Linked DNA regions of Drosophila melanogaster. The protein of the gene in region 2 interacts with the protein of the main gene of each other region in a pairwise test. Each region holds a gene or a part of one and is shown on either strand. Other genes may lie near its edges. The genes, in order: Pka-R2, CG31999, CG33229 and Mpcp2.

What was found.
Region 1: the proteins of CG31999 (region 2) and Pka-R2 interact in a two-hybrid assay, tested with the Drosophila melanogaster proteins (one large-scale study listed by BioGRID).
Region 3: the proteins of CG31999 (region 2) and CG33229 interact in a two-hybrid assay, tested with the Drosophila melanogaster proteins (one large-scale study listed by BioGRID).
Region 4: the proteins of CG31999 (region 2) and Mpcp2 interact in a two-hybrid assay, tested with the Drosophila melanogaster proteins (one large-scale study listed by BioGRID).

Annotation. Positions count from the first base shown.
Region 1 is NT_033778.4:10,021,432-10,029,270, reverse strand, and holds the start of Pka-R2 (protein kinase, cAMP-dependent, regulatory subunit type 2), read left to right. Parts: upstream 1-3,228; 5' UTR 3,229-3,442; intron 3,443-4,911; exon of another isoform or gene 4,912-5,068; 5' UTR 5,069-5,220; intron 5,221-7,839. Other genes in the region: CG12128 (uncharacterized protein), read right to left, coding at 827-1,563, 1,628-2,348. UniProt on the Drosophila melanogaster protein: Regulatory subunit of the cAMP-dependent protein kinases involved in cAMP signaling in cells. Mediates membrane association by binding to anchoring proteins, such as Akap200. Might play an essential role in the regulation of neuronal activity in the brain.
Region 2 is NC_004353.4:223,638-231,548, reverse strand, and holds the start of CG31999 (uncharacterized protein), read left to right. Parts: upstream 1-3,800; 5' UTR 3,801-3,873; intron 3,874-4,998; 5' UTR 4,999-5,714; coding exon 5,715-5,787; intron 5,788-7,109; coding exon 7,110-7,604; intron 7,605-7,662; coding exon 7,663-7,911. Other genes in the region: yellow-h, read right to left, coding at 1,150-1,638, 1,978-2,644, 3,309-3,544.
Region 3 is NT_037436.4:221,035-228,034, forward strand, and holds CG33229 (uncharacterized protein), read left to right. Parts: upstream 1-2,817; 5' UTR 2,818-3,219; coding exon 3,220-3,723; 3' UTR 3,724-4,571; downstream 4,572-7,000. Other genes in the region: pyx (pyrexia), read right to left, coding at 222-490, 555-844, 927-1,182, 1,236-1,479, 1,551-1,577.
Region 4 is NT_037436.4:14,534,137-14,542,122, forward strand, and holds Mpcp2 (mitochondrial phosphate carrier protein 2), read left to right. Parts: upstream 1-3,514; 5' UTR 3,515-3,566; intron 3,567-3,589; exon of another isoform or gene 3,590-3,712; intron 3,713-3,867; 5' UTR 3,868-3,895; coding exon 3,896-4,285; intron 4,286-4,592; coding exon 4,593-4,933; intron 4,934-5,416; coding exon 5,417-5,756; 3' UTR 5,757-6,305; downstream 6,306-7,986. Other genes in the region: CG43246 (uncharacterized protein), read left to right, coding at 2,498-2,756, 2,808-3,055; Gbs-70E (glycogen binding subunit 70E), read right to left, coding at 7,983-7,986.

The DNA.
Region 1 (7,839 bases), on a different chromosome or scaffold from region 2:
TATTATTGAACTTCTGCAAGTGACGAAATTAAATGGATTTTAAAGTATTTAAAACTTATAAAGGTTTGTTTTTAGTTTGCCAAATAAATAAACATGACAGCTTTGCTTCATCTGCACAGCACCGAATCTTCAATCAATCCATTACATACACAATAACGCACTCATTACTTATCAATTTCCCACTGATGATATAATTCACCACATATCCTTTAGCTTTGGCGATGGCAAAACATTTCCGATTCGACATATGGAAGAGGACACGGAATCTTTGCTAGGATATCACAGCGATACGCGCATCGAGTTGGAGGAGGACTTTCTGCCAGAGCCGCGATTTCAAGACTCGATTCCATAGCTAATCATGACCAGCGACAATGTAGCTACATATTACATTTAGAGATTCAGTTGTGAAGCCTCCTTACGACATACATATACTTTCAGTGTGTAAATAACAGAGGTACAGACAGTCCATCCTATAGGGACAACTAGGTTATTATGTTTAAGTTACGAATGAGTCGATAGACAATTGTAATGTATATGTATGTAAGTGATAATGCGAAAAATGTTAGGAGATCAAAATCTTAATTCTTGCTTGGACATTCGAGTTTGAAATTTAAAATCGTATTAATTTAGTGTGTAAGGATAAAGTTATTAGAACATTTCGAACAAAAGTATATGTCTATATAGGAATATAGCTCGTTATAGCTCGCGTCAACAAAAAACAAAATAGTATACACGCTTAGTGGAATAACAAGAAAATCAAAAGCGAAACTTTAAGCAACACATACGGATCTGTATATTTACAAAAATAAAATTCCAACTATTCCCATTAATCGAACCGACTTAAGTCGTCATCTGCACACGAGTGGCTTGTTCCAGAAACGGTGGTGGATGAAACCACTTCAAAATCGTCTTGTGCTGGGGTGTTTTTCGCTAATTCCTCGGAGGAATCGGCAAAAGGATTGGCCGTCAGTCGAGCCACTTTCGGCAATGGTTTTGAAAATGAAGGTTCATCAACGACTGTTTCATCAGGAGTATCCTCTACTTGCTTCCTTTTCTTTTGCTTTTTGCTAACTAAAACATCTCGCCGTACTGCAATGCCTGAATCCTCACTTTTAGGTAGCAGATCAGTCAAATCGATCTCCACATCAGCCACTTGCGGTTGCAGTTTCTCCTGGAGAGCCGCTAAAGCAATCAACAGCGCTTCCTCGGTGCGAATGGTTCGAGATCCTTGGCGTGGTAAAACATTTACATAGTGGTCGAACAGCAGCTCAGGATCATCTACGGTCAGTTTCTCGTCGTTGGCCAAGGCAGATTCCAAGCCTTGCAGTCCGCCAAATACAATGAGCATGTGATTAAAGTTATATGATCGGTTGGGCACCTCATGTACGTTGGTTCCGCGATCCGAGGTACCCACCGTAACATCGTAGCCGGTTGCGTAGGGTGATTTGGTAAAAATCTCAGACATGGAGTGTGCGATGCGCACCTGGTAGCCCCAATAAACACCTGTTTCCCGACGTGGTTCATCCGGGCTAACTAGTGTTCCCCGCTGCTTTCTACAGCTCTCTGTTAGGACGAATAGTTCATTAGTTCGGCACTGGGAGCACAAATGTTCGATTTAAATGCCTACCACTTTGAGGTTCCATTTTTACAGTTACTCTGACGCCTGGTTCTATTGCCTTGTCAACCAAAACGTCGTTAAGCAGCCCCACGTTGGCGTAGCTGTGTCCCTCCTTGGCCTTCTTGTCGCAAATGACGCCCTCACGATACCTGAATTTGCTCTGTTGACGGAGATGGTGCGGTGTGTCCAATGGATTCAGCAAGCCAGAGTACTTAAGGTCTTTGTGCAGCGGGAAGAAGTATTTTCGGAGATACTGCGGGCATTCCAGATACTGCAATATGCGTGCCAGTTGTAATGAGCTGCTGCGCACAGTGCCAGTGCTGCTGCCTTCCCCATCTGCCTCGTAACTACGCTTTGTTTCCCGGGCGGTGGCTATACCCACGTCGTCGAAGACGATTACCTCGTTCACCCGAAAGATGCAGGCGGCCCGGGCTATTTGACCGGCCACGTAGGCCCGCAGCTCGTTGGATTGGGCATTCTCGAGAATTGAACCGGGAACAGCTATGCTCAGCGTGGACGGATTAGGCTTATCCTTAGCCTGCACCTCATTGGCTGCCTTTCCCGCCTGTGATTCTGCCTCTTTGGCTTGCTGCAGCTCCTTGAGCAGCTTGTCCTGCTTGCGCTGCCGCTTCAACGCTTTCCGCTCCTCGTTCACCTTCTTCCAGGACTTGTGGGGCCCAATAGGCCTCCCATTGCTGCTGGCTGTGGGGGCGGCGAGCATCGTTTTCATCAACAATTCGTTTACTCGATTGAAACTGTTGCAAACAAAATACGCACGTGCAACCTCGGTGGACAGTATGTGGTCTGAACATAATACCAGTGTTGGTATCTATCGGTTAATGGTATTAATCGGTCAGGTTCATAATAATGCACAGATTTTTCATTCCACCTGGTAACATATGTAGTTCTCTCAAGAAGTGAAATGAAAACATTTATTGCGATTTGAATTTAAAGCGCTTGATTCAATAAACATGGACAATGGGAAGGAACAGTCCAGTCCGGAAACGCACAGTACGCACCCGCTATTCAAAGCGAAATCCGGGAAAACCGAGATCCCAACCATTGATGAAGCTGTGGACTATCTACAAATCCGAGCTATAGAGCTATCGAGTTTGACATCTCCGCCGTTAGACTATACAATGATGCGATCATCATAACGCCCTTACGGATGATCAGTGGACAGTCGGATCGACCTGCATCTTGTTTTTAAAATATTGCATCTTAAACGTTTGTTTAGACCTCGCTTCAGTTCCCACTGTTTGTTATGACCACCAAAGGAATTATAATAATAAAAAATGATTTTTATATTATTAGTCCTTCAAAATGGACTATACGTCCATTTAATGCTGCATTTAATACGTCATTGTGTTATCATTTTAGGGGTTTCTTTCATTTAAGTAGTCAATTTTTCTTACATATATTTTTATTTAATTTTCTAAATATCTGAAGACAACCGTTGAAAAACTTACGTTACAATTGCCCCGCTTTGGTATGTTCTTCAGTATTTTTACACCCACACGCAAGAGAGCTGGCCGCGAGAGAGAGAGAGCTTCCGCTGAGAGCGAGCTTTTGCGGGAGCACCAAGTCTATTTAAGCAACCCGCAATTCAAAACTTTTTGTAATTTTTGCCTGACACGGAATCGGAATACAGAGGCTTCTGCTTGCGATATATTTCACCGTTCGCACTTGTTTACGTTTGCCATTAAAATTTTTCAAAAAATCTAACGAGTAACAGCGGTTGAATCGCCGGTGGCAAAAATATAGAACCGTGTGCCGTTGTGCGTTGGTGGATCGCTGGAAAATGTGCGTTTAAAAGTCGAAAAAGTAATTGCACCGAAGAGAAAAGCCCGAAAAACAAAAAAGCGTGCTCGCAAATTAACTCCAGCTTCGCGCCGCCCCCCGCCCCCCGCCCCTACACCTGTGCACTTATCACCTCTCGCTCTCTCTTCAATTGTGCAAGTGTATGTAAAAATGTGAGAGCAGAGAGCAAAAAAAACCACACTACGTGCGCGTAATAAAAAACGAAGTGGGCTGTAGGCGGGAGGCGGTGTAGGTGGCCTGCCTCCCAATCCCTCCCCCGAAAATACAAAATACATACATACAGAAATCTACCTATCCGCTGCTTTTGTTGTTGTGTTGTTGTTACTTGAAGGTTTTTTTCGGTGGGGGACAATCAATAAACACGAGAGCTGCGTGTGAAAAAGAGACAGCGAGTGCGGAGTGCAGGTGGAGAAAGGGGATCTCAAATTGGAGCGCGAAGAGATTGAGAGAGAGTGGGGAGCGAGAGAGGGGCTTGCGCATATGATTCAAATGCCGGTTTTGAGCGCTCTATTTTTCGAGTCTTAAACAAGTGCAGTGATCAATTAACTAAATACTTGCCCTAATCAGTAGTTTTTTTTTTGCCAGATATCATATCTTGTTTGGATTTAACAATAGTTAAAGAATAGTTCAAAAAAGTGCAAGTGCAAGTGCAACTGCTACCTGCGTTATCGACGCCTATCGATATTCGGAAATTGGGTCACGGGCGCCAGCTTTTCAGGATGCCAATCAGAATTAGCCCCTACATTATTACAAACCCAAAAAAGTCAAGCAAAATAAAGTCAATTTACGTAGGAGTTGCAAGAAAGTAGAGAATAAACAACAATACAAATGCCTAATTATACACAAAAACCAACATGTTTATTTAGGCCAACTTGAACAAATTATTTCGCAAAAAAAAAAACAAAAGTTCCTCCATCGTTTAGCAGGTTTTGATCAAATTTGAGCAATAAGCAAAATAATCACGTCAATTTTGTTCGCTAATTTGTGTTTCCTATTAGGTTTTGCAAAGTGACAACCAGAATTCACTTCATATTTTATTTATAACCGAACAAATGAATTGTGCTGGCTCGCTGTAGCAATTCAAAAATAAACAACAATTGCAGTTAAGCACACAAGAAAACAAAAATGTCTGTTCAAGCGAAAAACAATTTCGGGCACCCAATTAATTAAGCAGTTACATTGGCGAACAACAAAAATGTTTTTCTTCAAAGCTTAAACGAAATTTTTGCAAAACCTGGTTAAATATTGGTTTACGTGACTTTTGGCATGTTATTATTTCATGCCTTTTGGGAATTAAATATTAGGCATAAAACAAATAAAGTGAAACCAGACCAAAACTAATTACATACATGTACAAAAATTCACCGTATTGAAAATTGATAAGATTGAAAATTAGTTTAATGGCTGGAGCTCGTCTAATTGATGTTTCAAAAGTGTACCTCACGACAACTAAAAAATCGCTCAAATCTCAGTAAATACGAATCCAGCAATCAAAATCTATTAACCGAAATACTTTCAAAACATCAAACAACAGCGAAAGCGGCAATAAACACCAACATCAACGATCCAAAAATAAATGTAGAAAAACAAGGAAAGTCCATGAGAGTAACAAATTAAATTTGGTTTTAGCCAAAACAACAAAAGCAAGCTAAGGAACAAGGCAAAAAAAGTCAGCGAAGAAAGAGACGGAGGAGCAGGTGAAACAGGTGGACGCAGGAGACCCACCCACCCGAAAGAAACTATCACCACCAGCAGGTGACAGCAAAGCAGCAGAAAGTCAGGTGAGTATCGCGCCGCATTCGCATTGGAATCCATTCCATTCCATTCCATTCCTTTCCATTCCGCTGCCATTTGTGTTTGCTCCCCGTGCGATTAAATATTTCACGCGCTTATCAATTGCTCAAGGGTTGGCATTGCTTGATAAACAAACAACTAAACAACTAAAGAGCAAACAGAAATTAAAAAGCCAGCAAAAGTCGCCTGCTTGGGCAGGTGGGTCGCCAGGTGAGGTTATACTACAGCTAGTGTGGCGGGGATCGAAGTGCTCAGAAAGCCACTGAGATATTCTGGAATGAGCCCCACCATATATGTACCCATACCTCTACTCGAATATTGTTGAAATGAGTACGCGGGCCATAAATCAGTGAATACCCCCGGATAACTTTTATAGAATTCGCTTCTATAAGTTTGAAAATTAAAGAAAAGCATTCAAGTACAACTAGTATGACTAGTTGGCACACTTCACTTCATAATTTAGGAAAATTATGAGTTTTGCTGCTCAGTCAGGCACCCGTTGTTTCTACAAATGTATATATACTTCACCTTTATAAAGCAATAATTACTTTCATAAAAACTTAATAAAAGGGTTGGACAAGCTTTATAAAAACAAAAATAAACATATAAATGGTACTGTAAAAAGTACTAGGCGTGGACTAAATCGTAAAATCATTTTGCTCAAATAACTTAAAATTCTTTGTCTAGATTTAAATGTAACCCAGATTTCTTTGAAAATAACAACAGGAACTATTAAACAACTGGAAGGTGCCTTTCTATGCAGTGCCATCTATTTTTAAGACTTTTAAACTGCTTGAATTCAAAATTCCCCAGTTACACCCTTTTTTATGTAATCCGACTACATTTCCCGTTCTTAATATCCTCTTTTCCCCTGTTGCAAAACGGAATCCAGATAATAAATTCTCGAGCTCCTTCTCGATGAGCTGTATTTGCAATTAATTCCTCCATTTTGTAAACTTGGCATCTTCGCCAAACGGACAAAGGAGAATAAGAGCCCAGCAACACAGTTGGCCAACAACCAACAGGCGAGAGACAAACATCCATCAGCAGCTCAAAGAAGCTGGGTTCGGAAAATCGAATTTTTAAAATTTGAAAGCTAAAATCGTTTGCCCGTTTTTGCCCACCAATTAGTTTTTTTTGCCTACGTTTTGAAATATTATATTTTGAAATATAAATTTTCGAAAATTTTTGGAAATCAAAAAATTGACTTTTTAACGTTTGCACACCATTTAAAATTTGTTTTTTTTTTTCGTTTGCCCAATAAATAATTTCGTTTGCCTATCCTTTAAAATTAGTTTTTTTTTTTGCCCACTCTTATAAAACAAAAATGTCGAATTTTTTGGAACTTCTTTGAAATTTCATATCTCAAAAACTGGACGTGGCAAAAAAACCAATTGGTGGGGTTTTCCAGCTTTCGAATTTCAAAAATGTGATTTTTCCAAACCCAGCTTCTTTGAGCTTCCATCAGCGGCAAAGCACACAATTTCCAAGCCAAATTCAATTTCGAGTTAAGAGGGCGAGATTGTGGCCCGAATCTGTGCGCACCACATATACACACACAGATACATACACACATAAAGAAAGCCGTGGCAGGACGACTTCAATGCGTATTCGATTCAATGGCCCGGGGCCACCACCCTTGAATGGCCCTTATTCCGCCACCATGGCCTCGGGCCCACTAGCACCCACTCCCACTCCCACTCACTCCCTTTACTTTCCTTTGCCTTCCTTTCTGCTCATTGTCGTAGGACGGCGGGAGATTCCTGTCATGTCCTCACGTTTCCTGGACCCATGGAGCTTATACTTCAGCTGGGCTTAGTTTCAGCTGGGATTCCTCGTTTATTGATTGATTCGATTCCCCGCATTCGTGTCCAGTCATAATGGATACCCCTGCACGGGCTGGAATAGAAAGTCATCAATAATATTTGCTCAACACGGGGAAATGTTCTAAAAATACAACTAAAAACTAAATTCTAGTGGAGCCAGCCCTCCCCCCCAACGAAAAGGAACTAATGAAAAAGTTGCCAGTCGGATTAAAGGCATTTTTATTGACAGCAGTCCTTTGGCTTCCATTTATGTTTCATATTTTTTAGGCGGCCTGTAACTGGAATTGACAAGGGTGAATACAGCGGCACGTGAAAAACTCATCACAAAAACGAAAGGACAATGAAGGCAAGAAGCTCTCTTTATTGTCCTCGTTTTTTGTTTTTATTCCCGGCGATATATGTACATCTTTCATTCCATTCTCTTTTATGCCAAACAATTGGCTGGGAAAATTGTTTTTCAATTCTGATTCGCAATTAATTTCGCAATCCAGAAATAGAACGCATCGCATAAACAAAGGCAACGCGGCGTATGCGCAATATTTGCTGAATATTCAATTTCCACCTGGTGGTCGAAAAACATGGAAATCAGCTTTGGTGCGCCGTCAAACTTAAGTTGATATTATTAATTAGTCGCAAAAGTTTTTTGTATTCTGATTTGCGGTGATAATGCCTCAAAACTTTGACGGATATTAATAAATTATGTGTAAATATGAAAAGTGAGTCACACACTCTTGGAAAAAATTATTGCGCATAATTTGCGTCTTCTTCAAAAAGTGGCCA
Region 2 (7,911 bases):
AGTATCGAATTATTGAAAGATAATAATACAACTAAAATCCGTATAGGCCAATAGAATGAACATGAATTCATGCGCCTGCCTTTAAGAATATGATTGCACATCAAAGATAGCTTCCACACTGTCCACATGCTTATTTACTTGATTATCGGCTCGTTCGCATACAGCAATTTGGGAAATGTGTATTTAAAAGTCACACACAAATACATTTATTTTCACAAATACAAAAATATTTTCTCGTAAATTTATACGTATGTATACAGCATCTTTGTTCGGCAAACAAGCGCATCGATGAGAGCCCCTTTTATTGGAACGGAGTACTTTATTTACTATTTTTATAGTTATAAGTCGCAGTGTCTTATATGCACTTACATACATACCTTGTTTTTAAAACTTAAATTTACGAATGAGTAAAGTGCGAACCATCTTTAAGTTAACATCGCCCAAATTTGATTATATTCAAAGTAATATCTCGAGAAAATACTGTAACATGAATATACATATATCCATTGATGTTCGATATTTCTTTATAGATAGTAATATTCTCTTTTAGAGATGTTATATTAAGTACACCCAAAATCAAACCACTTTCAGAGGAAACTAATGACGATAACACGAACTTGAAGATACAATAGAAGAAAGAACACGCTCCCTACCTGTTACTTCTTACAATTGGATATAACCTTTCACAGTACGACTAAAAAATATAAATATATTACAAACAATTGTATACACGTTTGAATTTGAACCCTAATATTCATTCGTTGAAAACTAGAATGGCGGAGGGAAGAACTGCTGACCCATAAAGAATATACTTCGAATATTCGAGCAGAATCGCAAGCCAAGTTGATCTAGCAATGTACGTCCATTTTAATTTCGTGATCTTTAAAATTTTAAAAGCTAGAAAGCTAATTTTAGATACGTATGTTCTTAAAAGTCCGATCTTATGCCAATTTGGAACTCGTACACGTTTAAAAACTGTTATTCTTTTAGTCAATTTAGTTAATTGCTTGGACACAACAAAGCGCAAAAATCTGTTAGACCCAAACCTTCAAAAAAGGTACTAGAGTATCATTTGTAACGGACGCAAATACCAAGGTTGTTCAAAAATTTACAACATTTTGTTGTGTAATTGTTTATTTACCATAGTTTTCAAAAACACTGTCCTTCTTCTATCAACACAAAAGCTGACTTTGATGTATTAATATAACTATTATCCGGATTGCAAACACTATTGCGAATAATCTTATTTACATTCGCCTTTAAAATTCGAAAATTTACTTCTCCATAATCTAGATTGCTGTATAGAAAAATTGGTAGTCGGTTACTTATAAGCCATACATTTTGATCTTTTTCTTTGTCTACTTTTAAATCATTTGGAAATTGAATAAGATTTGAGTTTTCCATATTATGAAATTTTCCCAAATGTGCTCGAGTGTATGGTTTCGATGTATCCCAGCATCCAATATCATCTTGATGAACTTGTGTAAAAAACATAATGCCATTCCTTGTAACTCCTGATGTAGATGATTGAGAATTATATCCGCGGTCTCCAATTGGTATGAAGTACTTGGCGTACTCTTGAGTATTCGTTTGCCACACAGATTCGTTTAACAAGATATTCATAGGCACCATGAACTCCTAAATGAGAAAGTATTATAATCACAATTATTATTATTATTATATCAGTTACTCGTAGAGTATAAGGGATTGCTAGTTTGGTTAATAAAAATAAAACAGAAATAAGCCTTTTCGGACCCTACAAGCTGCAGATAATTAGCTTACTTAAGATTTAGATTTATTTAAGTACCTTAAGTAAGACTGATCAAGTAGTAAGCTGTAGGAGGGGTTTTTAAAAGTAAGTCGGCGAGCCATTATTTAGACAATAAAGACAATGTTAAGAAAGGCATTTTTTAAAATCAATATCAAATCAATTCCCAGCCATTTTCTTGTCTTTATTTATATACTCCTTATACTCACCTTGAAACTTGCCATTGGATGAAAATAAAGAACGCGTTCCATTATTTTCTTATTGTAATATATACTCATTCCAAAAACACCATCCAGCCATTGAAAATTTAATCCGTATACATTAAAATCCGAAGCAAAGGGATCCGGATAAAAGTTATAGTTGGTCACGCGCCAGCTGCGGTTTTTTGATAGGCTGTAAACAAGTAGACCAAATCTCCATACATCCGATACGATAGCATGCGCATCATCGCAATCTTCTCCAATATCCACAACAATATTGGAGTGCAACGAATCTTGCTTCACATGAGAAGCTTCCAAATTGTATCGAACAATCAGTTCGTCACTTTTAAGATCATACACAACAATTTTTGGTGGGCAGATCTGATTTAAGTTTATTGTAGCATTGACAATTCCAGAATCAATTAGCCAAATTCGATCACACCTATCTACAGCTGTTCGATAAACTGACATCAGTTTTGAGCAGTCAGGATTGTTTGGATTTCCATGAGCCTCCCAGTTTGGATACGGCTTTATTGCCGGGCTTGACTCTTTTGGAGGAAAGGGCAGTGTACCTAAGCTAGCAGGCACACCATTCTTCCAACGAGGAGTTGTCACAAACAGGCGGTTATTATGGACATCAATGCCTAAAGGTAAATTATTTTTTGGTACAAAGTCTCTGTAAATATTAATATATTATAATAATTAGACAGTAAATTCAGCGCAGTAGAATAACACATAAAGCCAGATTATGATAATCCTTTATGTAACAGTCTGTAACAGCCAGAAGGAAGCGTTTCTGACCATGTTCTATATGGTCATATACAATATTCTTTATAAGGATCAATAGCCAAGTCGAACTGGCCATGTACGTCGATCTTTATTTGCATTTGCATTTTCCCTAGCTGTGTAACGGGATTCTGATAGTCGGGGATCTCGACTATAGCATTAGAGATAATGCTAGGATTTATTCATCAATATTAAAGATATGGATGAGACGCACTGAATGATTCGAATGAAAAGAAAGTATTTATAAGAACTAGTCTCCTATAGTTTTCGAGATAAGATATTAATTTGTTAATTTTTTTTCGCATTCGCAGTTCCACGAGCTGATTAACGGATATCTGATAGTCGGGGATCTCGACTATTTGTGACATAAGAGCGTCAAATAGTTTATTTTTCGAATTTTCTTTTATACCTCTCACAATACAAGCATTTTAAATTTATTAAAGGCGTATTTTTTGATTTTTTTACTAGTACTACAATTTGTTATTAATATTAATACATTTTTCAAATTATCTCTTGATTTGTAAGAAACTGTTATAACCAAATTGTTTTGTTACCCATTTAAAATAGATTGTTGGCGTTGCACAAAAGTTGAGTATAGGAAATCCAAATATTTCCATTCATAAACGATCTCCAGTTGACTTTCACTCTGTAAGTTTTGCGAAAACGACTGCGAAGTATATTCATAGCCATCAAGTGTTTGGAAAACTGGTTGAACACTTAAGTTTCCATTTAAAGTCTTCGATAAAAAAACTAACTGTGTAATTATATTAAAGATAGTCATAGACTGCATCCTAGCTGAATATTAAATAAATAATTCTCAAAAATGTACTCTATGGAATCAATCGACCAGATCTACCAACGTTTAAAGACTGATTTAATGTATGTATGTTTAAAATATCTTTTACATGCTTGTTGATGCAGATCAGAGCTTTTTTGTAAGGTATTGTGACAACGCTTAAGCTTTGTTTTAAAGCTTTTTCAACTATGTAGGTATGTATCTATCTATGTGTTGTCTTGATCTCCACCAGCCGAAATTGTTTGAATTTGTTCTTTTGTTTCGCATTTCATTCAAACGTGTAGCCTTAATTTCACTATCGGACCTGTCCCAAATTTTAATCGGTATTGAGTTTTACGAGTTTTTTCTAAACTAACCATGAGCAATATAATCCTCAGTATTAACAAAAATTTTAACTTTCATCAATTTTTTCAAATGGTTTTGATTGATCAAGAAAATTTGTATTATATTCAATATCTCAATCTATTTGCTGGCAAAAACAGCTATTATTTCAATTCCATCAAATGATTTATATAAATAAGTTTTAAAAAAATAAATAAATATTGTTTTAAAGAGTGTTGAATGAATTCAAATGTTGACATCAGATCCTTGCATGTAGATTGTTCGATCGTCACTTTTTTTCACATCTTTAAGAGTTGGTTTGGTTTGATGGGTAATAGGGGTAAATAGTCTGCGCCAAAAAAAAGTATATATATTTGTATGTATATATATTTACATATAAGCCACCATTTCCGACCCTATAAGTAAACACTTACATATATATGTATGTTGTTGATCTAGATTGCTAGCCGATTTTAAGCTCTTTGCCCCCGTCGGTCATCGTTTATCTGTGTATAGTTATTATAAAACGTAGGTATGTATGTATAATAAAATATAAAATATAATAAAAAATTCAAATTTTAAAGAGCGGACAAAACGACGGTCACAGTTAAGCAGGTATGGTTGTACCAAAGACACTAGAATAGTGTCTAGACACTAAAATAGTGTCTTTGGTTTTACCGAGATATACATACAGTTTGTCAAGAAACTGTTTGCACACTGTGAAATAAGTTGAATTTTTGGCTTTAATGGTAAAAATTAAGAGTTATTTGCTTAATTAAACGGAATTTTTTTATGAAATTTAATTAAACAATATTTATTATACTAATAAATCAAAAAACAAATTAAAATATTAAATATACAAGTCAAGAAACTCTACACATTTTGTTTTCGTACTTTGTCTTGTTTTTTTTCTTAGAACTAACTCGATTTTTCCGTGGTTTTTGGTTGGTTTGGTTTTTCCGTGGTTGGTTTTTGTATTGCATTTTTACGCTTCTATTGAAATTTTTTGACTTTGCTTGTGAAATTTTGCTGATCGAACGTGCTTAAAGTAAATTATTAAATTTGATAAAATGCCTGGAAAGAGATTAATTGTTTAAGTTACCCAATTAATAAACTATAACCACCAGTTGGGAAAATCTATTCCAGAATTAGTAGAAATGTTTTCTGTATCCCGTACGACCGTCTACAATGTTTTAAATCGCACGGAAAAAGAGGAGAGGCTTGAACCTAAGAGTCGGTTGGCGCACAACCAAAATTATCAAGCGCGTAGACCGCATTATTATACGAATAGTGATTGCGAACCCCCGAATCTCGGTCAGAGCACTTGCTCAGGATGCCAGAGAAGAATGTGACCAAATTGAATGAACATATGTATGTATGTATATTGATCATATCTTAAACGTTTTCTGCTACCTTTACCTAGTTTCAATAATTCACATTGCTCCAATTCACAAAACCTGGGATTAGCAAATAAAAGTGTGTTTAATAAGAAAATATAACAGCAGGTCGTCGAACAATAAACATATTTATGTACGTAAATACATGTAACGTATAGCGTAGGCTTATATACATACATATGTACATACATATGTCAACAGCTTGCTTTGGCCCACACGCGTTTCAGTCTTAAATCCTCTTCGTTCTAAAATTATATATTTGCTATACATACATACAAGCATATACAAACATGCATGTGTGCGCTGCTAAGTGACTGAGATAATTCCAGATAGCGTATGCACATGAGCGTTCTTTATTTTCTCATTCATTGCCTGACCTGTTCATTTAAAGCTCCCATCTTTATATTAATTTTATTTTTTACCCGGATTTGATTTCTGAACCCGTTATGTTTTATAAACTATGTGCTTTTATGTGTTTCTTGATAGTTGGAGGGCATGTCACCACCACAATGGCCAGTGGTAAGTAATGTGTAGTATACTTGCTTATATGTCAATAGATATGAATATTTATATATGTACCTGCCTACTGAAACCGCCCATTGTATATTTTGGGCAAATCTTTAAAATTGTATTAGGTTAGTTATAAAGTTATTAAGTTATAAAGTTATAAAGTTATAAAGTTATTAAGTTATTAAGTTATTAAGTTATTAAGTTATTAAGTTATTAAGTTATTAAGTTATTAAGTTATTAAGTTATTAAGTTATTAAGTTATTAAGTTATTAAGTTATTAAGTTATTAAGTTATTAAGTTATTAAGTTATTAAGTTATTAAGTTATTAAGTTATTAAGTTATTAAGTTATTAAGTTATTAAGTTATTAAGTTATTAAGTTATTAAGTTATTAAGTTATTAAGTTATTAAGTTATTAAGTTATTAAGTTATTAAGTTATTAAGTTATTAAGTTATTAAGTTATTAAGTTATTAAGTTATTAAGTTATTAAGTTATTAAGTTATTAAGTTATTAAGTTATTAAGTTATTAAGTTATTAAGTTATTAAGTTATAAAGTTATAAAGTTATAAAGTTATAAAGTTATAAAGTTATTAAGTTATAAAGTTATTAAGTTATTAAGTTATTAAGTTATTAAGTTATTAAGTTATAAAGTTATAAAGTTATAAAGTTATAAAGTTATAAAGTTATTAAGTTATTAAGTTATTAAGTTATTAAGTTATTAAGTTATTAAGTTATTAAGTTATTAAGTTATTAAGTTATTAAGTTATTAAGTTATTAAGTTATTAAGTTATTAAGTTATTAAGTTATTAAGTTATTAAGTTATTAAGTTATTAAGTTATTAAGTTATTAAGTTATTAAGTTATTAAGTTATTAAGTTATTAAGTTATTAAGTTATTAAGTTATTAAGTTATTAAGTTATTAAGTTATTAAGTTATTAAGTTATTAAGTTATTAAGTTGTTAAGTTATTAAGTTATTAAGTTATTAAGTTATTAAGTTATTAAGTTATTAAGTTATTAAGTTATTAAGTTATTAAGTTATTAAGTTATTAAGTTATTAAGTTATTAAGTTATTAAGTTATTAAGTTATTAAGTTATTATGTTATAAGGCTTTAAAATTATTACCACACTAAGGTATTTAGATTTCGGATATGAAATTGATAAATGACGAAAAAGAATGCTAGCCTCGGGCAAGGGACATCACCATATGGACTCATGTGTTGATACTGACTAAGAATACTTATAGAGTTGAAACCTTTTGATTTTTACCAATATATACTCTGGCTTAAAATATCCTGTGATCAAGCGAAAGTGAAAGTTTTATTTTGTTTTAAGACAGCATATCGGGTTATATACGAAAATGCTGTATAAATGGACTTCGACATGCTCGTACGACCGCCTCTTGCAAAAAAATCGACATAGCCCCAACAATAATCCCGCAGCTCTGGCTTGGACTTTGTCATTCTACACTTGAAGTCTGCTGTTCTCGAGAACTGGACCATCAAGATTGCGAGCTAGGTCGACTGGCTGCTTTAGACGGTACTCGCTGTGACGGAGAAGGAAATGTAACATCTAGCTCCTATGCGACATGTTGTCGTTCTTGTCAAATCGGATTAGCAGTTAAAGCGAGTAAAGCCAATTGCAAAGATCCATTATTTTCATTTATTTTCTTAATTGAATCATACCGAGCGTGCTGTTACGGATCTGCTGACTTTAAAGACCAGCCCGGTATCGACGAAATCGATAAGGCTAATTCTATTACTGATGAAGGTGAATTGCCGTTTGTTTCTGAAGAGGATATGAATGTAACTATTGTTCTTACCGGCGATGGTAAGTATATCTTATTTGTGTATCATTTGAAATCATAATTAATTGTACTCATTGGTAGATGACATATGTGGAAAAATTGAAAACCTTTGCGCTCACATATGCGAAAACACTTTCGACGCATACCAATGTAAGTGCCACCCCGGGTTTATGTTAGATAATAACAACGTAACATGCTCTCCGATGAAAACCCAAATATGTCCCAGCGGTTACAATTTAGATAAACTGGATAACAAATGCATTGACATTGATGAATGCCGGGAAGATCTTCATGACTGCAAATCATCCCAATATTGCCATAATACGAATG
Region 3 (7,000 bases), on a different chromosome or scaffold from region 2:
AGTTCTCAGTTTGGTTATAGTTTTATTAAAATAAAATTCCGAAATAACGTTTTTGACGATTAAGTAATTTAATTAATTTCGTTGACCCTTCCTCATTAAGAAAAGCGAAGCGGTTTATACTAATATCTTCATTATCATTTACAATACTTTTTAGTAGAAAAAGCACATTATATTAAATAATGGTTTTTTGTGATCAGCTCTCATAGTGATCTGCCGCCTACCTTGTTAACATCCGCTCCCGCCTTTAGCAAGGCATTGCAGCAGTCCAAACTCCGCGACTGCTTAACGATGGCGGCGTGCAACGCGGTTCTACCATCTCGGTAAACGGCATTCACATTGGCTCCGTAAGATATCAGTAAATCCACGGTGCCGATTGACTGCGAAAGGCAGGCGAGGTGCAAGGGCGTTTGATGGCTGGCGTTACGGCAGTCCACCTCAGCACGGTGTTCCAGGAGCAAGCGAGCACATTCTACATAGTCGTTTTCGGCAGCTGCAATTTGTGGATTTACCAATCTATTTTGCAAAGCACTTGTAAACCCCTTGCCACTACTCACCCAAGTGCAGGGCCGTAACCTTTCCCTCGCCAAACTGCGATCGCACGTCGGCGTTGTGACTGAGAAGAAGCTGGACGCATTTGGCGAATCCTGCGGCGCTGGCGGTGTGCAGTGGAGTTTCAGTGTACACCTGCGGTGTGTTTGGGTCGGCTCCGTACTTCAGCAGGATCTCAACGCAATCCACGGCATTCACATCGATGGCATAGTGCAGAGCGGAACGCTTTTCGATCCCAATGTTGATGCTCGCTTTTCGCCGCAGCAACAGCAGGATGCATTCAACGCTTTTTGAGCTAATAGGGAGTCGCTTGATTAAAACTACGTGTCTAGTGCTGTGCACATGTGGGAAGCGCAATCAAATGAATGGCCTTTTACCTGGCCGCACAGTGCAGCGACGTGACCTCCTTCCTGGCATCCCAGCGATTGGGGTCAGCGCCGAAGTCGAGGAGAACCTTAGCTATGGGAGCGTTTGCCCGACAGCAGGCGAAATGCAGTGGGGTCCGACCCCGACTGTCCGCCACATTCGGATCCGCGTTGTAGTGTTTTAGTAGGAAGAGAGTATTCTCTACGCTCCCGAATACCGAGCAGCAGATCAGCGCCAGATTGCAGTCAGCAGAGTCGGTCATTAGTTCTATGTGGGGGTTAGTCTGGGATATGTTAGGTACCGTGCTGTGAGGTACTCACCCAGGAAACAGCCAGATTGAACCATGTCCACGACATGCTTTCCGCCTGGAGACTCGGTCAGGGTTTCCTTAACCTCGTCGAGGTCCCAGAGGATCTGGTTCTGCTGTTGGCGCGCAAATATCTCGTGCGCCTCGTCGCTAAAAACTCCGGCGCTGTTGGCCTCACTGGATATGCTCCGCTTGTCCAAGAGCAAGTCTACATCCGCCGTCGGATCGCTTTCCGAGTTCCACTTCAAGTCGTTTTCCTTCCAAAAAGAAACAAAGAATTGCAGGCGGCTGAAAGCGCGAGGCATGTAGGCCAAGTCGTTTTACTTACAATAATTGAAAAGCGCACGTTCTCCATCTTAACGCCGCCACTTCTGTCTGCGCCGATTTGTTTACACTCCCGTGGACCAAACAACAATAAACTTTTGGATGCGGCCGAGTCGGGCGACTGTTCAGCTGGCTCCGGCTGCTGTTCGGGTCGGCCCACCCTTCTTGTTGGGGTCGACTACTTACACTTATTCGCGGAGATAGGCTGCGATCGCTAATAAGTCATGACACGCAAATAATTATCCCCAGGCCAATATGTGCGGACACTCAAAATCTCTTGTGCCCCTAATTTGTGTGATATTGCTGCATGTGTGGCGACGTTCTCTTGTGCGATCGGTTTACTTCGATATTTGTTGGAATATCTGGATGTCTGGCGGATTCTTCGCACCGCTGGCAATGGCAATCTGTGCTAATTTTTCACGTTCGCAGCTGCTCCCCCCACTTTCCACCTTCGCAGTTGCCACTGATCCGCCACTGGATATGTTAATTGTGTGCACGACCGACGGCAGCTAAGTTGTACGTCGAACTGAACCGATCGTTCCAGATCTCGGCCTCCAGTGCCTCCAACACTTCGCACTTGTTCATCGTAGGTCTACTTGCGGTACGGACGAGTGAGCGGCTAGCAAGGTGCGTAGGAATATAAAACATACTGTTAAATAGCCCGCCAACCAATCTCTAGACGCCAGCCCTGGCATTTTGCCATATTCAACTCGAAATACACTACATGTAAGTTAGGGGTAGTATTTTGTTGAGGATGTCCCATACTTCGACATATATCGCTGCCTTTTCATAATTATAGGGATTTTTTGCAGTGTACTAGGTCCGTTGAAAAGTACCTACAAGGTATACAGTTTATATTAGGCAGCAGATGTGGCAACGCCCATTCTAAAAATCTATGAAGCCGGCCAAAACTGCAACACCTCCACTTATGAAAAGTGTTTTGGTTTTATTCTTCTCATTATTTTATTTTTATTTTATTAGTCTATTTCCAATTTCTACCGGTATACCATCTAATGCACAGCAACTCTCCAAAATGTTTTATATATTTTTTTTCCTGGGTAACGGGTATATCATAGTCGAGAAACTGGACCTTATCGTTCTCTTCTGCTCTTATATGCAAAACAGATCAACAGATCAATGTAGAGCGCAGATTATAGTTACAATTTCATAGAAGACATCAATCACCCCTCGTTAGACTGTCCCAACCAATATACTGAGTCAGTATACTTTTGCGGTATTTTTTAGGATTTTTTGTACATACAAAATGGACGACTCATTAAAATTAAGTTAAAAACCACTACTTTGAATTGAAGTTTTTTGCCATGCCCATGAAGACCACTAAAATATGACGTCGGACATCGATTTTCAAGAAACGAGACCGTGTTCTTGTGTGGTTATCACGATCCGTAGGGCCAGCATTCGAGCAGAAATCGTCCCCAAAAAACAGTTTCCCTGCTGGCTGAGACAAGAAAAACGCGTAGATTTGCGAGCAGAGCTATAAAAGGGCGCGCAGACAACGCGCTCTACCCAGTTAAAAAGAGTGCGTTGTGTAGAACAGTCATAAGCAGTCCGCTAAGAGATTAGTAGCAACTACGAAGTGAAGGTGTGTGTATACCAAATTCTCAATTTTCTCTTCGAGTCGTCGCAAACAAAAACCCTGTGAGATCATCGAAATGGTGGCGTACTACGACGAGTGCGACGCAGCCGAGAACCCCAAGACCCTAACCGACTGGGTCCGTAACTTCCGCGTTAAGCGCCAGAAAATGCGTCGCAAGCTAAGAGGCGCTGGCAGCGACCTACGCGTGAACGCCATTTTGTCGACGGCCCTGCTCCACGCAGAGCACGAGCTGCGTAGAAAGCAGCAGGAGCGCTTCAGTCGCTGGCTGGACATTCAAACACGGTTTGTGCCCCACGGCAGAACGCACTGCGCCAGTGACGCGTACTCTGCAGTGGCGACCTCGACCACCAAGGCTGCCGCAGAAGCAGAGGCGGAAAGCAATTTATGGAGCAGCGAGCTTAGTAGCCTCGACAGTTTTATGCGTAGCTTAAGCAGCAACAATGGCAACCAAGACACATGCAACAACAATAACAATGGGAGCAACAGTTACACGGGCGCCAGCAATAACAATAACAGCAACAATGAGCAGCACAGCTGCGCCATTGCCGTGGCCAGTTAGTTAGACAGAGACGACCGTATGGTGCGTACTTTATGTGTATGCGTGGCTGACACACACATCTATATAAACAAAATGGCGTCAGGATGGAAGGAACCGTTTAGTTTTCAGCTGCCCGTTCGAATCAAACCGTATACCATTGTTCAAATACGTAGCTTTAGCCCTATTTGTCTTCTGTTAAAATAGTTTTATTACGACAACCAATTTCTCATTTGCAGTCGCAAACATGTGCAAGGCTGTTGTAGATTGTAAAGAAAGAATGAAGGATTGGAAGAGTGTGAGGAGACGCTGAGCAAACGGCCTTCAAATCGAAAGTGGTGTGAGTCATGGGCGCTGCCACCATCTATGCGAAAAGCCCACCAAGCATTGGTCACGGAGCACACTCGGTTTGTAAATAAGTATATTTTTTTTAGTTAAATTACGTAGCTTAATGAGTGTGGCGAAATAAGACGTCGCTTACAGGCATCCCAAACGTCACGAAATCGGTCAGACAAAGAAAAAAAAAACTCGATATACTTACACAATGCATACACATTAACACATCTACATGTCGCGATGGTGTGTGAGCATGAACGCTCGTGCTATTTTTGTGTACACCAAGTTGAGCTACTTTTGTTGTCCGATGTGTCGAGAAATTCGATTTCGAATTAAATTCGAACGTTCGTCATCGCCACTTCTGCGAGTTACATACGGTTCATATTGAATCACTAGCGCTAGAAAACGGGCAATATTGCAAAGTAAACGAGTGAAAGTCGAAAACCCAACTATTAACTGTAAATGTACTTAAAGTAAGCATACAGAACTGATATTTGATAAAACCTAAAATAAAACTATTATAATTAATAACTGTTAAAATCAACGTTGCCTTTATTTATTATTCACCCAGACCAGACTCAGATTTGTTGCTAAGCAAGCACCAACCCTCTCCCCGTTTGACATAACCCGCACCTATAATCAATTTTGTTTTGCAGTTTCCTGCTCCTCGCACGTTAATGGCAACGATGATGAGGAACGGAACACAAACAAGAAACTACGTCGCAGTGGGTCACTGAATGAATCCGCGTCCCGGTAGCAACAATAGTTCGACTATGGCTGGTACTGGTAAAGAAGAATCCCGAACACGATCGTCGCAGTGACGATGACGTTGCGTTGTAGAATTACTGAGTGAGTCTCAACGTCTGTCCGAGTCCCCCCACGTCCACCGCCAGGCACTGAGTTCCGCAAACCAGCCGATGGCCGATTCTACACAGATCGCCGGAGCAGGGAGCAGCAGCAGCAAACACCACCGAGTCTCCTCTGCATGCCAATGCCCATGCAATTCAGTCGCAGCGGACAGAACATTGGGGACAAGGCGGAATGCGCGCGGCAGCAGCTCCAGCTCGCATCAGCTTACCTGCGTTTGAAGCTCTCGTGCTGTTGCCAACCACCGACAATCACCACCTATTCTGCATTGAACGCTTCGCAGCTGCTGATCACCACCCACCCATCCGCACAGATACACGGTATTTGGTATATCAGCTGCGAACAAAATATTGCTTTTTAAACAAAATTCCAGAGAAAAGAACAGCGGAGCATTCATTTATCATCGAAACGACATTGAGGAACTGCTGTAATCCTTTCGGGTGAACACCGTGTGCGATTGTTATTGTGATATACAATTGAAAGGCAGTCGTCGAGTTTTTATCTTTCTGTCTTCGCTCGGTACACTTTTCTGGACTTCTCTTTCACCGTTTGTGATTTTGGCAAGCGATTATTGGACCCCTTTCCATTCAAACTCCCCATCTTCCTAATCAATAGGCTAGATAAGGCCGCTTAAATCTTTGTAGCTGCATGTCACAGTTGATCGGTTCCTGTGGGTGCTTTTGTTTGATGGGATTGCTTTGCGGTCTTCAAGTATTCACGGTCTTGAGGGCTCCAGACGAGGATCTTTCCAGCAAATCTATGCGCAAGCAGGCGTCAAAGAGTTTGTAGACTAGGCACGACCATCACATTTCGTTTTTTTTTTTTTTTTATAGCGTTGCATCGCAGTTGATCGGTGCCTGCGGGCATGTATAAATGGAATCTAGCGAGGCGGAAGATTGAGGTCTTCAATTCTATGGCCCCAAACAACGCTCCTGCGACATCAATCCCTCAATTAGAATATGTGCAAAGAAGCATAACTAATCAACTGAACAAGCGTAAAAGCTAAGATATATGCAACCGATATCTTTTCTTTCGTATTTTGTAGAAATACATTTTCATGGACTGATAATCTACAGAGAATACCAACTCGGCGCTATGGGCCCGCCCAATACATGTAAATTTGTGATTTTATGTCCAAAATATTTTTTGTCTTGTAGCATTATGGGTGCAGTTGAATGTACCTGCCCATAATTAAAGCCTGCAAATCAAGAGTTATTGTTAAACGCAAGAGGGAACATTTTGAACAGACTCAAATCTGTACACGGCCTCTGTAAGGAATGTGCAATCGATACCCTTTTCTCTCGTATTTTATAGAAATACATGTTGTGGAACAGTTTAGATGCTATGGAATTGTACCACGTAGTTGGACCACCACACAAATTTAATTAAAGTATGGAGAAAAACTTTTTTCTGTTTTCAAGCTGTTCCCGTTGAATGTGCCTGCCCACATCTCATCTATAGCTTCTGAGTAAATCCAACAGCGAACCGTCTATTCTTGGGACTTTAACAGCGTTTGAGAAATGGTTGGATCTTTACATTGCTCATTTAATACTAAAGTTAATCTTCTTTCCCAATACCTAGACGCTTATTTATGAATTCATTGCAGTGTTTATACAGAGACATCGGTTTCAAGCAACCAGTCTTATCAATCACATAGTTGACATACCAGTGCACATTTGCCTGTATTAAAACCAACCGAGAACATGTAGCAAAATTTCTTGAGGCAATGGGAATCAAATGCCAACTTGAAAGCAATAACACCAACACTAAGTCGTCGCAGTCCAACATCCATACTACACGGCGAATTCGAATTGAAGACGCTGGTCAGGTCTGAACCCAACTAGAACCCGCTTACACCTGTTTTTCAGCAATTTTTCTGGTCAGGATGTGGATTATCTGTCACAGAAACTTCGTTTGTCTTGAGCGTCGCTAAGATTGGCCGTTTGACCCTCCCAAAAGTGAGATTCTAAGCAGCCTTAAATTTATTTTACAATTCTTACAGCGGTGCCGCACAGTTGAGTGTGCCTGTGGGCATCGACTAAGCAATATTTGAACCGAAGGGCAGGGCAGTGGACCGTTCCGTTGATGATGATGTGCA
Region 4 (7,986 bases), on a different chromosome or scaffold from region 2:
GCGTTTGCGATGAGGATGAAAAGATACGTAGATACATTGCTTGGAAAACATCCACACACGACTCGAACGGCAGGGCGACTGGCTGATTTCGGGTACTCCTATACCTTAAGTTCCGGGTTGAATGCGCAAAAAAAAACTCACTAGGTTTTGCATTTTTTATTTTTACTGATGCTTAAATTTAAATTGCCTTTCGATTTAAAATAAATTAAAGTACACGCACAGTTGCGCAGCAACAATGGAAAACCAATGTGTGTGAAAGTACAAGAAGCAACGTGGAAAACATCGCCCATTTGGAAACGGAAAATTGTCAACGCACATTGAACTTGACAGACGAAAGAGAGCGCCTATCTAGCGACATAGAGAAAGAGAAAGATGGGGAGAGTGTGCGGCACATGCCTCAATTTACAGTTAACCGCGGCAGACATCCACAAGATGCAAAACTCCAAAGATACTTTCGGCCAGCGGAATGCGAATCGCGAACGGCAAACTGCGAATTGCACTTGCCGCGGCAACTTTTTCACCCGAACACGAAAAAACCACGATCTGCACGCAGAAAAAGTAGTGATAAGATGTAAGAGCGAGAAAGGTACAATAAACAAATAAATAAAATAGGGGTTTTAAGATTGCATTATAAATAAAATTTAAACCATTTTTAAATTTTTAGAACAGTTTAAGTATTAAAAGTTTGTCGTCTTGTTGTAAATTGTAAATTTCAGCATACACAGGAAGTGTCTCTATCTCGAATTTTACATTGTGGAATGACTTTCTAGCAAACAATTTCTTGCAGTGCCACAACAAAAAGTGAAGGGGCCCCAAAGCAAACGTCAAAACGCCTCAAAACGCCTCAAAAGATCAGAGTGTGTTTGTGGCGTCTCGTTTGTTGATGCGGTGGCTAATGGCTGCATATATATTCGTAAGCAAAAAAATAAAGAAATATATGGACAAGGCCTGTCTAGTCATAGCGGTACTTTGAGTGGGCCCCCAAACTGGCGAAAAAAGGAGGAGGATTGGGGTAGCTAATGACTTGGCGCCCAACTGAAGGAAGTTGCCAATTTTTGTTGCTGGTTAACTAGTCGCAACTGGTGTTGATTAGTTTTTCTTTGAATTTCTTTAGGACTCACTTCGTTTTAAATGGGCAATAAAATTCCATGAATTGTTTAAAGGAGAACCACTAACAGTCAGAATTATTAAGAAATATTAGAAGACTCGGAACCTAATTTATTAAATATAGAATCTTCCTAATGTACACAGATTTACTAAGATAATATCAATTAAAATGACCAGTTCAGAGTTTACATGTTATTTGCCGCTTATAGAAATGAGATAATCTTATGAGATCACTTACAACATGCAGTGAGCTTTTCTTTATGTTGATCGAAGGTGTTTTTAATACCATTCAAAACATTTCAAAAAGCTACATTTGCAATGTTTTATTGATTTTATCCAATACAAAGTGTAATGTTATTGTAATTGATTACTTCAATCTAGACTTTAACAGGATATTTTGAAATATTTTTAAAAACTTAATTGTATTTTCTTTAGAAAGATATATTCATTCATTTGTATATGCATATTATGTATTATATTATTATTACTTAAACCATATTTCACTTAAGTTCATATCTCATTTGTTATCACTTTTCGATTCTCCTAAATCAAACTTTCTTTTCCGCTTGCAAAAACATGACCAATCTCTTGATTACTTTTCGACTTAAGCTTCCTCTTCTCAGACTAAACCCAAATCGATCAGTTTATCGCATCCACTCTCAAGCTTTCAAAACTTATCCACATTCAATTTACTAAAACACTTTGCCGTAATCTCTATTTCAGATCCAGCTCCAGTTAGCAGACCGTTACACAAAAGCACTAACACAAAACACTTGGCAGAGCAGCTCTCCTTACGTTTAACTTTAATTACTCAATTATTTGCCAGATTTTGTTGTTTTTCACTTCTTAAGTTGGAAATTAGCCGCGAAGTACGCAGACCTAAAACGTTGGCCAACTGATTAGAGCGAGCGAGAGGCGGCGAGGGGCACAACAACGATCATATCGGATCGGATCTCGGATCGAATGGGAATCAACTATATATCGGACTACTACAGCGCGCGTGTGCGAACGCGCTACGAACCAAACTCAAACTGACGACCGAACTTCACTCCACAGAAATCCACGAGCGAGCAAACACAGCAAATACAAAAGCACAAGCAAAAGCAAAGACGGCGGCAAACAAAAAGAAAGAAGCACAAAGACAATCGAAAGACAGACTCAAAGCTTAGCGAAAGAGTCCGTTGAAGTTCTTTTGGTAAGAACCACAAAAAAGGCGGAAAGGCTTAAATAATCCTTGAACTTAATAATAACCTACATAATATAAATATCCAAGTGTATATTATCAGTCACTTTTGTTCGTTTTGTAACAATAGTCGTACATAGTGGCCTTTGGAAATACATACATAAACTTTATCAACGCGGTCTCATTGAATTATTTTTCTTATTTTAAATGTCTTTTAATTGTATATATTTTCTTATTATACTCAGTGGGAGACTGTTGATCACCTGTGCCGAAAAAAACGTATCTATAATAGAAAATGGGAGATGCTTAGATTGTAGGAAGGAAAATACGGAAATGTGTCGGATTAAAGAGACAGGATTCAGTTGTTATGAAGGAAACTTTTATAGGCGATTGGGTCGTCTACAAGGTGAATTCCCAAAAACAACCAATAAAGAGGGTGTTTGCGTTCCACCCGGACTGCATATCGGTATAAGAAGCATTTGAATAGTAATAAAAGACTAATTTTTTAATTTTACAGATACTATGAATGCCAAAGTCTGCTGCGTTTGGTCACCAGAAATCGGTTGTCAAATCTTATTAACTGAAGATCACCAGGGTGAATTTTGCTTCACTTGCAGAGTGAAATATAAAATGGAATACAAAGGCCTAATTTCCTGTCCGTGCGTAAAAAGTGAAGGATTGGGCCAACCCCATGTGAAATCATGGCAGAACTTTATTTTCACATATTTACTCATAAAATTATCCAGTTTTACCATGGGGCTATAACTTATAAATTTAAAATGTACATATAATTGAAAATTGTTATATATTTTACAGAGAGTTCTAAATACAATAAAGCTTTAGATTAAAATTTGTTTTATTGTGTAAAAATAGAAAACAAATCACAAATACTATGCAAAAATATGAGGATTTTACAAATGAATTTATTATTTTTTCAAAATATTTACAACTAATGTTATCAATATGAAATTAATATTAATAATTAATATTTTATTCACAACGAAGGCAATGGCATTAAAATAATCTCACCTGATACCTCGTATGCAGATGGTTCGAGTCCACGCTCAGGCGCCACCAAAGTTTTGCACCAAGGTTGCAGTCCATAGCCGAAGATTTTGACATGAGTGTGGCCAACTATCCTCAATCCGCTAGTTACACCTCTCCACGGCAAAACCATTAAGGCGTTTTGGTATTCGTGAGAAATCGCTGCACCTCCGTGAGCCCCCCCTCATTCTTTGAATCCTCGCCAACGAGCCGCTAACGTTGCTGACGAATAGTAAGTGCGAAAATTCCGAGCGAAAATTGCATAAGTTTTGTAAAATCGAAATCAAAGTAGCCGAGCGGTGCTCTATCGCTCCCTTAACATACACTAAATTTACGTGGTTGCTTAAAATCCTTCGCTTTTCGGGTAAATTTGGTGTCGTAAGTCCGGGTGCTCGGAATTCGAGGCACGCCGTTATGTAACCTACAAAAGCGAAAAGCAGCTGATTACCCAGCTATATATATAATTAGATAAAGCACATGTCGCCTCCGAGGTACATATATACGTAACTAATGGATGGTCTCTCTACTTTCAGCCGACCCCAGAACAAGAACAGAATCAAGATGTTCTCCAGCTTCTTTGAAACTGCCCGGAACTCGCCATTCCGCACCCCCATGTCGATGGCAAGATGCGATGCCGCCGCCCCAGTGGTGGAACCCCAGCCGGTTGAGGGTCGCCAGATCGCCGCCGCCGCTACCCCGGTGGCCAACCAGCAGGATTCGTGCGAATTCGGCAGCACCAAGTACTTCGCTCTGTGCGGAATTGGTGGCATTCTCAGCTGCGGCACCACCCACACCTTCGTGGTCCCACTGGATCTGGTGAAGTGCCGTCTGCAGGTCGACCAGGCCAAGTACAAGAATCTGGTGCACGGATTCAAGGTCACCGTGGCGGAGGAGGGCGCCCGCGGACTGGCTAAGGGCTGGTTCCCCACTCTGCTCGGCTACTCGGCACAGGTGAGATTGGGCTTCACTTTATGGGTTGCATAATCGTCTGGAGGCGAATTATATGCTCGTGACCAGGTCGGCTGACCTTAATTACATCGGTTCCGGGCTTGAAGCAGATAAAAGTGATTCGAATCGAACATTAGGAAGTTTGATTCCTAGGCTGATATCTTAGTATACCTCAGAATAACAACACACCTTTGACAACTTTATGGTTACGGGAGAAACAGATACCGAAGATAAAATCTTGGATACTACTGCAAACTGAAAAATAACTTCTGAGAAACAGCAGGCTAATCCGCGTTTCTGTATCTTTCAGGGTCTGTGCAAGTTCGGTCTGTACGAGTTGTTCAAGGTGAAGTACGCCGAAATCATTGGCGAGGAGAACGCCTACCTGTACCGCACCTCCTTGTATCTGGCTGCTTCCGCTTCGGCCGAGTTCTTCGCCGATATCGCTCTGGCGCCGTTCGAGGCCGCCAAGGTGAAGATCCAGACTATTCCCGGATACGCCAACAACTTCCGCGAGGCAGTGCCCAAGATGCTAAAGGAGGAGGGCGTCAATGCCTTCTACAAGGGTCTGGTTCCCCTGTGGATGCGACAGATCCCATACACCATGATGAAGTTCGCTTGCTTCGAGCGCACCGTGGAGCTGCTCTACAAGTAAGTAACATTTCCTCTTTAGGTATCCTCTAGTTTCTACAGCGGAAAAACTTACCAGTGCTGTGCACAATATCTGTATTCGTATTAGCGTTTTGCTATTACAATAGTTTAAAGGTAGACTGTTAATCTGTGAAATTTCAAAAGTGATATGCTAATTGATCAAAACTGAAAGTATTCATAATAAAATAAACTTTTAGCGCGTCAGCAGATAAGAATGCCATTCGTATCTAATAAATGGCACGCCAGAATAAAAACCAACGACGAATGCTTATCTTGTTCAAATATAGGAAAATCATATTATTTCAGAACTAGTTTGTTACTATGGATAAAATAAAAAAAGCAAAGCATTCCTTTTGAAGTGCAAATTAGCAGGTAGCCACTGAAAGTTCAAATGTAAAAACTAGAGCAATACCGTTCACAGTTCGGGTTGTCAAGCCCCAACGAACCCCGTTAAATCAATACTAATGATGCAACTTTTCCCAGGTATGTGGTGCCCAAGCCTCGTGCCGACTGCACCAAGGGCGAGCAGCTGATCGTGACCTTCGCCGCTGGCTACATCGCCGGTGTGTTCTGTGCCGTGGTGTCGCATCCCGCTGATGTGGTGGTGTCCAAGCTGAACCAGGCCAAGGGAGCTAGCGCCATCAGCGTGGCCAAGTCGCTGGGCTTCAGTGGCATGTGGAACGGATTGACTCCTCGTATTATCATGATCGGTACCCTGACCGCTCTGCAGTGGTTCATCTACGATGGTGTGAAGGTCGCCCTGGGCATTCCCCGCCCACCACCACCAGAGATGCCAGCTAGCCTGAAGGCCAAGCAGCATTAAGTGGGCTAGTCCAATTGGTTACCTTAAGGACAGAGTTCACTAGTTGGAGCGATTGTGGGCAGACACAGGAGCAACATACTTTTACTTTCTAACGAATTTCGGTTTCAGTATAGCGAAAATGCTTTATACTTGTTTCTCAGCAAGAATACATTAATGTTGCGTGTGTGCCATTGCACATGTACATTCCAAAACAACACTTTACGCATTTCTCTAACACAGCACTTATACACACTTTTTTATAAACACATCTTTCTAACTTTAAAAGCCAAACATTCTATCGTACGAAACTAAGCTACACTCAAGTTCAAAGTATTCAATTCCATATATATTCTGTTATACTATGTGCTATATTTAATCCTATGTGTGTCTAGCTTTCGCTGGAAAGTATGTCCGTATGTTGTACCTTTGATGGCCAGCCCCTTGTTATCTCCTCTCCGCTGCCCCCACAGGCCACACATGCGAATATGATATTAATGCTGTTTCAATTGTCTGACCCGATACCCAAGAAAGCACTCTGAATAAATTAAATTATAAAATATAAAAAACTCTACCAAGCTGCGTTTTCTAATCTTGTCTATCTATTGGGAACTGGTTATTATAGATTGTGGCTGTGATCACATTAGAACGATCGTGGGGATAACCTTATGACCTTATGATTTCCCTGACATTGAAAATGGGGTTTTATGGCGCTATAACTAACTAGCATTGTGAGGTAACCAAACAAGAGATCACGAATGCTGATTGCTTTAAAGGAAAACGGCTAATTTCGGTTTTGTTTAATCGTAATCAGCTGCCAATTGTCTGCGAGAATTTTTATGTGTTGCACAAAATGTCGATTTAAGATGTTTGAGCTAATCTATTATAATTAATATTTTAACACAATGAGCGATTTTTACATATTTAATTTTTAATAACCCACTCGATACTGTTGTAATATTTGTTTGATGCTTCTATAGAATTCGAATGCAAATCTTCATCTCAATTAAATTTATTAAAAAAAGGTTTGGACGTCTTGGCTAAATAAGAAGAACTACAGTATTTTTTCCAAAAATATTTATTTTGTTTATGAGCATTGAGCTGAATAAGACATTACAGTGGCTCGTTGTGTCATAAGTCCAGTAAAAACTAAATAATTAAATAGTACGCTTTATATATGGGCACATATATAGTTGATTTATTCACGTTACGTCAGTTGGGCTCCTTACTAACTAAATAACCTCTAAGAACTAAAAACTAGTCATCGTGATATAACTAAATTCATATGTGTATATAAATGTATTTAACAGGCAATTTTCTGGTATATTGTTTTGCTTTTGCTTCTGTATGTACAAATCGCTTAAATCTAGCTAGGTGTATATATCATATATAGTCGGGGATCTGGATCACACAGAACGATGAGGACAAAGTACTTTGTTGTCTGTAATGTGGTGATGCGAAAATTGCTGGGTTCTTTTTATTATATAATGTATTGCAGGACGTGTTTTCTTCTCCATAACAAGCCATTTCAGTCTTAGCGTTTCAAGTAACCAAAAAGATAAAAGTGTATAATGAAATAAAAAGAATAGAAATAAAAAGTAATAAAACGAATAAACTTAGGGCTACAATTTTGTTGCTTTTCTTGTGTTCTTTCATAATGTGTGTTTTGTTGGTTTTTGTTTTCTTTATTTTGCAGTTGCAGTAAATTTCGAAACAATGGTTTGCTTGAATGCTTCACGCCTCAAAATTCATCTCCTTTCATTTTTATAAGGTTTTTTTTTTCGTTTTTAGTTAACATAAATCTAGTATCAGTTATATAGATGTAGACGATCACACAGGCATACAGGTAAACATATAAATCTATCTTTTCCAAAAATTCTTTACAGTCAAACATAAAACATTTTAAAAAGTTATACATAGATTTTGAAATTCCATCAAGTTGACTAAAGACAAGACATACAAATTCGGGCTTCGCTCAGTAGAAGTAGTTATAAGCCCTCCTATCTCATTTTATATTGAGTAAACCTCAAGTCAATGGCACATTAAAATTGGGATATTTGTACCGGGTATTAGCTTAGGTCAAAAAGTTTCGTTAGTGGTAAAATCTTTTGGACTCTCCCTCTGTCAATGAAACTGATTATAACACTTTAAATCTTTTCCAATTCTGTTTCTTTCTGTTCATGTGGCCTAAATGAGAAACTTTATTCAATCGCTTGGGTCAGGAAAATCCAATCCCGTTCCCAGGCGATTTCAC